2 linked regions of the Xenopus tropicalis genome follow. The protein of the gene in region 1 purifies or fractionates together with the protein of each later gene. This does not show direct contact. Links are inferred from orthologs where the notes say so. Each region holds a gene or a part of one and is shown in the gene's direction. Other genes may lie near its edges.

Region 1 (3,822 bases):
CTTTAAAAGGGTGGGTCATCTTTAAGTTAACTTTTAGTATGTTATAGAATTCCATTCCTAGCAATGTTGCAATCGGTCTTCATTTTTAAAGTTTTTGTTATTTTATGAATTATTTGCCTTCCTCTTCTTCATCTTTCTAGCTTTCCATGGAAGTTACTAACCCCAGCAGCCAAAGTTGCTCTGCGAAGCTACAGTTTTATTATTACTTTTTATCCCTTATCTTCCTATTTTAATGTTCTCATTCAAATGACTGGTTGCTAAGGAAAAAAAGACCTTAGAAACCAGCTGCTGAAATCCTAAACTGGAGAGCTGTTTAACAAAAAGCTAAATAACTGCAAAACCACAAAAAAAAAAAAAAATAAGACCAGTTGCAGATTTTCTGAGAATATCAATGTCTACACTACACTAAAAGTTAATTTAAAGGTAACAAAATATATTTATTTCTGCTATGAGTATTCACTCTGACCTCCAATATGAAATTATTTGGCATGGGGCTTTCAGTGGTCAGAGAATGTTGTACTTGTGAAATATGCTCCGTCCCTTCAAAGCCAATCTATTAATTTAGCTGGCATATAGAACTGGCTCCACAGGGAGGCATCAAACTGCAATTTGAAAGTATTTATTTTGCTTCAATTTTGTGCAGATTTACGCCAGATCTAGGATGCAAAGCCAAGTAAGTGTAAAAAATAAATTTTTGTTATTTTAGTTTAGCAGCTTTTTTTTTTTTTTTTTATAATTCTTGTAAACTTGTTTTAATTATTGTATTTTACCTTTGTGGAGTTGTGGGTGTAAGATGGTTGATGGTGGTAAAAGTTTGCTTGAAGGGATTACACTGTTTACATAGAAAATAATTCCCTGTACAATTTAAAGTGTATTTTTTTTTTTTTTTAGTTGCAATATTGGTGTGTAGGCGCCATCTCAGTGCATTGTGTCTGAGTCTGATCTTTCAGAAGGAGCCAGCGCTACATTAGAACTGCTTTCAGGCAGCTATTTAAACAAGCTATTGTTTCTCCTACTCAGTATAACTGGAGGAGTCCCAAGCTGGACTTAAGGTCCCCATACACGGTAAGATCCGCTCGCTTGGCGAGATCGCCAAGCGAGCGGATCTTCCCCCGATATCCCCACCTACGGGTGGGGGATATCGGGGAGCTTGAAGTTAAAAAAAAGAAATAAATAAATAATCCGATCGTTTGGCCCTGGGGCCAAACAACCGTATTATGTAGGCGGCAATGGGGCAGTCGATTCGGGGACCGCATCAGCGAGCCGATGCGGCCCCCGATCCGACTGAAACTTTTAACCTGGCCGCTCTTTTCTGCCCCTACACGGGCAGATAAGCTGCCCAGTCGGTCCTAGGGACCGATATCGGCCCGTGTAGATTTCTTACTATTAAAGGAAAAGTAACACTAAAAATTTTTAACTAAAAAATGTATTTTACCCTGCCCCAATAATTACCCTATCCCACAAACCATTTATTATTTTGAATGCTGTAGTACAAAATACCTGTTAAAAGTTGGCTTCCGGTCATTTGAAGAAAGGTGATACGGCGATGCAGGTGAAGTATCAGGGGAAGCGTCCACTATGCGGCGATCGATTGATCTAGCCTTCCTTCTGTATAGGAAGGAGTCAGGCTAGGCTTGATCAATAGTTTTAGTTAAAAAATTTTTAGTGTTACTTTTCCTTTTAAGTGCTATTCTGATATCTACTGGGAGCTGCTATCTTGCTGCCTTCCCATTGTTCTGCTGATCGGCCGCTGGGAGGGGGAAGATACCACACCAATTTGCAGCGTGGCAGTAAAGTGTTTATCAGAGCACAAGTCACATGGCTGTGGCAACCAGGGAAATGAAGAATATGGCTAGCCCCATGTAAAATTTTCAAGTTAAATATAAAGAAAATCTGTTTGCATTCTTGGAAAACTGATTTCAATGCAGGATTTTGCTGGAGAAGCATCAAAACCGATGCGTTTTGCAGAAAACATGTTTTATTCCTTTAATATCTTGGCACCTCGTTATAAACAAGTTCTTTGCCCCCTTCCCCCAGGCTGCTTTGTGGCCCCCCCTTTTGATGTTGGAGAAATTGAGCGTCTAGTCTTCTCTTCTATCTGAAGTGTAGTACCAAAAATTGACTTGAATGATGTGAGTTAGCATTGATGGGTAGACCTATTAAGGTACAATAGTCTTAGTTGCCTAACTTTGATATCCCAGGGACCCACCTTCAGATTTGCCATAATGGGTGTGGCAAACTTGCTGTGGTCTAATTTTTGCCAAATATTGTGCCTTAAAATCCCCCTCTTTCTCTTTTCAAAGACTGCCTTTTAATTCAATGATGTATGACTGGTTAGTACTGCAATTCAATTGCTTATGTTTTTGCTTTATTCCTGGACCTACAAAGAAACTGAATAGGTTAAATGATTTAAATTAGTGGAAGTGTGTCACCACTGCTTGCCTTGGCACAACTCCGCTTTCTCTGGAAATAGATTATGCAGAGGAGCACCAAGCCACATACTTGCTCATCCTGCTCTTTATCTGCCATGGTAACTTATATCTACAGGCGTATTTATTCATATGGATTTGTAGATCTATAGATAACTCTTCTTTTCTTTTCACAGAAAGTGTCAGAGAGGAAACATGAATTCTGTTCTGGTGAGTGGCCTTGTATAGTGTAATTCCTTAGACAGAGACAATTATTTTTGTCTATGCTGTTTGGTTCTTTATATGGGTACATTTGTTTTTGGCAGAAGTACTACATGCGGGACAGCGAAACCTTCATTTTTATTATTATATATTTTGTCAAGGTTAGAGCATGTATAGTTTTTTTAGTTTGCTAAATGAAATAAAGCAATATATATTCTTGGTTTGATTTGCCTTTGTAGAGGTTCTGCACTTTTATGTCTTCTCTGCTGGTGCCTAGTTAGCCAGTTATCCTTGAACCATTGAAATGTATTCTTCTTTTCATTTGCTCTTTCTGGCACGAGCTGTAGTCATTTAATTCACTTTTGTAGTGATTTTTTTTCATGTATCACCATCATATAAATACATGCATTTTAAGACCCTCTTACTAAACAAAACATGTTATTTTCTGCCTTACCCAGCCTCGCCTTCTTTGTAGTACTCCAAGTTTTAAAAAGACCTCAGGAGGACAGAGAAGCATGTCCAATAAGGAAAATGTAAGCGAGATTGAGAAATTTTGGACCTCAGGAAGTAACATGTGAAAGCGGTTGGAAGAGGTCATTACTGTAAAGTATTAGTTTGTGTGTCAAAGTGTATTTCTTTTTAATGGTTGCTATTTTCAGGAGAGTGAATTGTTTAAAAATCCAAACTGCAAACCTGTTGCTTTGGTGCTGCCACAAGAAGCAGTCGATTCACAATTCTCTCCAGCACCAGAGGACAAGGTAAGTGCCTCAGTGCAGTGCTTCCCATCTCAGTATTTATATGTATTTAAGTTCTGTTGCTGGCACATACATTTTCTGTTGAGTTACAGCAAACCAGAAACATACATTTTCTTATATGCTGTCAATAGCCGCAATATCTACTAAATAACTGATGTACATGAAGTACAAAGTTTTTGAGACTTTGCAGCCTATCCCATTTTATAGTGTCTGATTTTCAGCCTGAGATGAGTTAACTACTGATGTTGTTGTATTATATTTTCTTGGGACTGTTATAGGATGATTTTTTTTATTAGTTTATTCAGCTTTATCAGTTGACACAAACCCATTTTAACCAAGTCAAGTAAATATTTGGTAATATTATATTCTTAAGTGGGTGCTGTCATGTTACTGCATCCAAGAACTAATTCTAGCCTTTCTGTGTCAAACATGTCAGA
Region 2 (3,822 bases), on another chromosome or scaffold:
TTCTAGTACATTATATATAGGGTTGTCATAGAAAGTGGGACAAGAAAAGTTTGCTCTGGGAAATTTTCTAAACATTTTTCTTACCTCAATGTTGTTCTTTTTGAATCAGAGGTAGGCTCTTGCACGGAAGGCACTTTACATATAAAAGCATTACTGGAGATACAGCAATCACATTTGTGTCTACTGGAGTAGAAGGAGCCTTTGCTACAGAGGAGCATCCATATGCAGCACATGGACCCTGGCTACAGGTGACATTTATTTATTTAACGTTTGGGTAATAGGAAAGCAGAAAATTGCCCATAGGGAAAGAAAAAAAAAAAAAAATAGAAGACAAATCTTCATGTGTAGTGTAAGTTTTAAGGCACTCGGGGTGTATTTTAAGTTTGCAGTAGCAGTAGGTGGGTGATTTAGGACTTACTATCGCAAAGCTAAAACTACCCTGTGTGCCATAGGCCTAAAAACTGGCATCTTCGATAAAAAAAGATCTAGATCTTTGATGTCCTATAGGCTATATGTGCAAAGGAGATTCATTTAAATAGAATCAGAGCCTGTCAGAATCCAGTTTTATGAAACTCCGCCATCTGAAAGCCTAAGGCTAAGAATTGATATCACTATGAATTGTCAAGTGGACTCCTGCAGATTTCTCAGAAAAGTTATTTGTGAAAAGAATAAGTCCATCTTCAGATGAATGGCAAACATCTGTTTTTAATTGATACGTTGTCATTTTAGTCCTTAATGGAAACAGTAAAAATGCAGCAGTCTGTATTGTTAGTCACTGGATGCAAAAGTCAGAAGCAATAACTTCTAACCCCCCTTTGATGCTAGGTGATGGCTTTCGAGCATAGAAATCTGAAGGCTTGAACATCTTTTATACTATAAAACAGGACTGTTTGATTATAGAAACCTTGGGCTGGAGGTCTGCTCCCAGATGGCTTTATATGATCTCATTATAATCTAGCCCACTAACATGGATTGGGTCAGAGTAGATGTGAATTTACATTAAAGGGGTAGTTCACCTTTAAATTAATTGTGAGTATAATGTGCTATTCTGAGGCAATTTGCCATTGGTCTAGGTTTTTTATTTGCTGTTGTGGAATTATTCAGCTTTTTGTTCAGCAGATTTCCAATTTGGAATTTCAGCAGCTATCCAGTTGCTACAGTGCAATTTAACCAAGCAACCAGGCTTGTTTGGTTTGAATGAGAGACTGAATATAAATAGACGCGGGCCTGAATAGAAAGTTAAATAATAAAAAATAACAATAACAATAAAATTGTAGCCTCACAGAACAATAGCTTTTTGGCTGCCATATTTAAAAGCTGAGTCAGAAGAAGAAGAAGGTGGCAAATAATTTAAAAACTACAACAAATGAACTCCAACTGAAAAGTTGCTAAGAATAGGCTATTGTACAACATACTAAAAGTTAGTCTGAATGTGAGCCACCCCTTTAGGGCTCTGGCACACGGGGAGATTAGTCGCCCGCGGCAAAGTCGCCGGTGGGATGGCAGGGGGAAGGCAACTCGGGGAGATTAGTCGCCCGCGAACAGGGAGTTTTGCCGCGGGCGACTAATCTCCCCGTGTGCCAGAGCCCTTAAATTCTTCAGAGTAGCAACCCAAGCAGGGACCTCTGTGCTCTGCATATTGCAGTCAAGGTCAGAATTCTCAAAATAATTGGGTGTGTTTGGACATTAACTTGACTCACATTAAGCAACCAGTTTGCTATAAACTGTAGATGAGGTTTAACAGATTACCTGTCGGCAGACACTGCTTTATGAATGAACACAAATGTTTTTAAATGTTTTTAATGTTTTCCAAATTCTAGTCAACAGGTACCAATCATCTCACTTTCTTGATCAGAAGATAACTTGGATATGTAGTTTGTAGATGTACAGCCTTGGATTGTATCTGTCAAGAACCTAAAACTGTCTTTCTGTCTTTTCAGATTCTCTTGACAGAGGAGTTAGTTGACAAAATGCTGGAAGACTTAGAAGATTTAAGCTCTCTAGAGGAAGTAAGCAGTCATAGGCCCGTGTGCAAAAATTAAATATTAACATATTTTAACAGATGACTTGGTTATTGTTTTTGTATCAGTATGGAACTATTTACTTTACTTGAAACATTGTTGTAATTGGGCTAATTTTCAATGTTTATTTTCCCATGTAAAACCATATAACAAACTTTTGTTGCAAAATATTCATCTGTCTGACTGCAGTCTCTAGCCGTTATAGCTGAGATCACACATTCCTAAGGGAGGGGGGAAGGAGTTCTTAGCATTCTGGTACAAGGGGGGAGCGGGAGAGAGGAGAGAACTGCGCAGACTCTTGCCCCGGGAAATAAGGATGTTTTTGAGAGAGGAAGCCAGACACTGGAACATAATGTTTACAAAAAAAAGAGACCAGTAACCCTGTGTTTCTTTTAATAGAGGACTTAGTGCAGCATTACTGTAAGTGTTTATGGCTGTATTTACATAGACCTTTGTGATAAAGCTTACTTAGTTAAAGCATGGATAAATTAATAGGACAATTAGGAGGGTTTAAAATTGTAAATAATCAGATAATCTGTATTTTAAGTAAAGTCATCTTTTCTTTCCTAGATGAAACTACCGAAGGAATACAGCTGGCCAGAAAAAAAGCTGAAAATCTCAATTCTACCCAACACAGTGTTTGATAACCCCCTCAACTAAAGGTGGAGTAACACCAACATTTCTGTTAGATACAGGGACGTCACAGTGGACTTTCCCCAAATTCAGCAGCTCAGCTTCATCCCTGCTGGAAACCAAGCCAAAGGAAAGCAATTACTGCACAATCTCTGCCCCCAGAGAAGGCTGGAGTGTACATGACATTTCAGCCCCATTTTATATTTTTAGCAGCCAGTTTCATGTGTGTTTGGCTTCAGTTGACTACTGAGTCTTTTCATTTAGACTCCCTTGGACTAGCATGACCTTGTCTAATTTGACAAGACATGTATTACATTGGGTTGGGTCTGATCATTAATGTTGTCTCAGATTCTATATGGATGAGTCCTGATAAGCTGCTTCCAAAACATATTCGTATGTTTGGCATTGGCCTCCAAATCATCTTATGCCAGTTGCCTTTGTGTACCCAGTGGGGCAAGTTGCACAGTGCCTATTTTACTTCATTTAGCCAGATGGGTGGGGAAAGTTGTTCCATGACTGGAAAAAAAAGTTGCTATTTACAGTTTTGTAACTGTAGTTGTGCTGTTGTCAGTCCCTTACATAGCAGTCATTATGGCTGGACCCAGATTAAATCTGGGAGGCACCCTTTGGACCCTAGAGTTGGTATAATATTCACTCCATATTGCCTTTTTTAATTGATATTGTCTTGTGTAATAAAGTAGATAATGGAGCCCCATAATACACAGCACAGGGACCCATTCTTGGTCATGACCCATAGGTTAAGAATTCCTGCCTTATGGTAATGATTATTGCAGTTTTATGCCATTCCTATTGAGAAGCTGGTTTATATATTTATAGCAGTGCTTGAACACTGACATTCTTAAAGGAGAAGTAAAGGTATAAGCACTGGGGTATTTTAATTATCCTAATTACATTCAAACTTTTGCCTTACCTTGTGGTACTGTCCGCTTGGCATAAGATGAGAAGAGGGGACACTGCTGTTGACAAAGACATAGCTTCATAGCAGCAACAAGCTAGATAGGCTTTCTCATGTATATTTATTGTACTTTTGTAGCAGTCAGGGCTTCAAAAAAAATTCTGAAACCAACCGTGGTTATACTTGTAGACCACTTTTTAGTGTCAAGGGTAAGACTTGGCAATGTTCAACCAATTTTGGTACAGCTGCTAC

Evidence for each region.
Region 2: the proteins of cdc25c (region 1) and sufu purify together in Homo sapiens (affinity purification with mass spectrometry; 4 studies listed by BioGRID and IntAct, counting the BioPlex papers as one, with this or other methods). This does not show direct contact. The link is inferred for Xenopus tropicalis from reciprocal best matches to the Homo sapiens genes CDC25C and SUFU.

The regions. Positions count from the first base shown.
Region 1 is NC_030679.2:47,996,416-48,000,237, reverse strand, and holds part of cdc25c (M-phase inducer phosphatase 3), read left to right. Parts: intron 1-643; coding exon 644-673; intron 674-2,605; coding exon 2,606-2,639; intron 2,640-3,088; coding exon 3,089-3,163; intron 3,164-3,289; coding exon 3,290-3,388; intron 3,389-3,822. UniProt on the Homo sapiens protein: Functions as a dosage-dependent inducer in mitotic control. Tyrosine protein phosphatase required for progression of the cell cycle. When phosphorylated, highly effective in activating G2 cells into prophase.
Region 2 is NC_030683.2:29,282,237-29,286,058, reverse strand, and holds part of sufu (suppressor of fused homolog), read left to right. Parts: intron 1-109; coding exon 110-248; intron 249-1,940; coding exon 1,941-2,009; intron 2,010-2,591; coding exon 2,592-2,681; 3' UTR 2,682-3,822. UniProt on the Homo sapiens protein: Negative regulator in the hedgehog/smoothened signaling pathway. Down-regulates GLI1-mediated transactivation of target genes. Down-regulates GLI2-mediated transactivation of target genes. Part of a corepressor complex that acts on DNA-bound GLI1.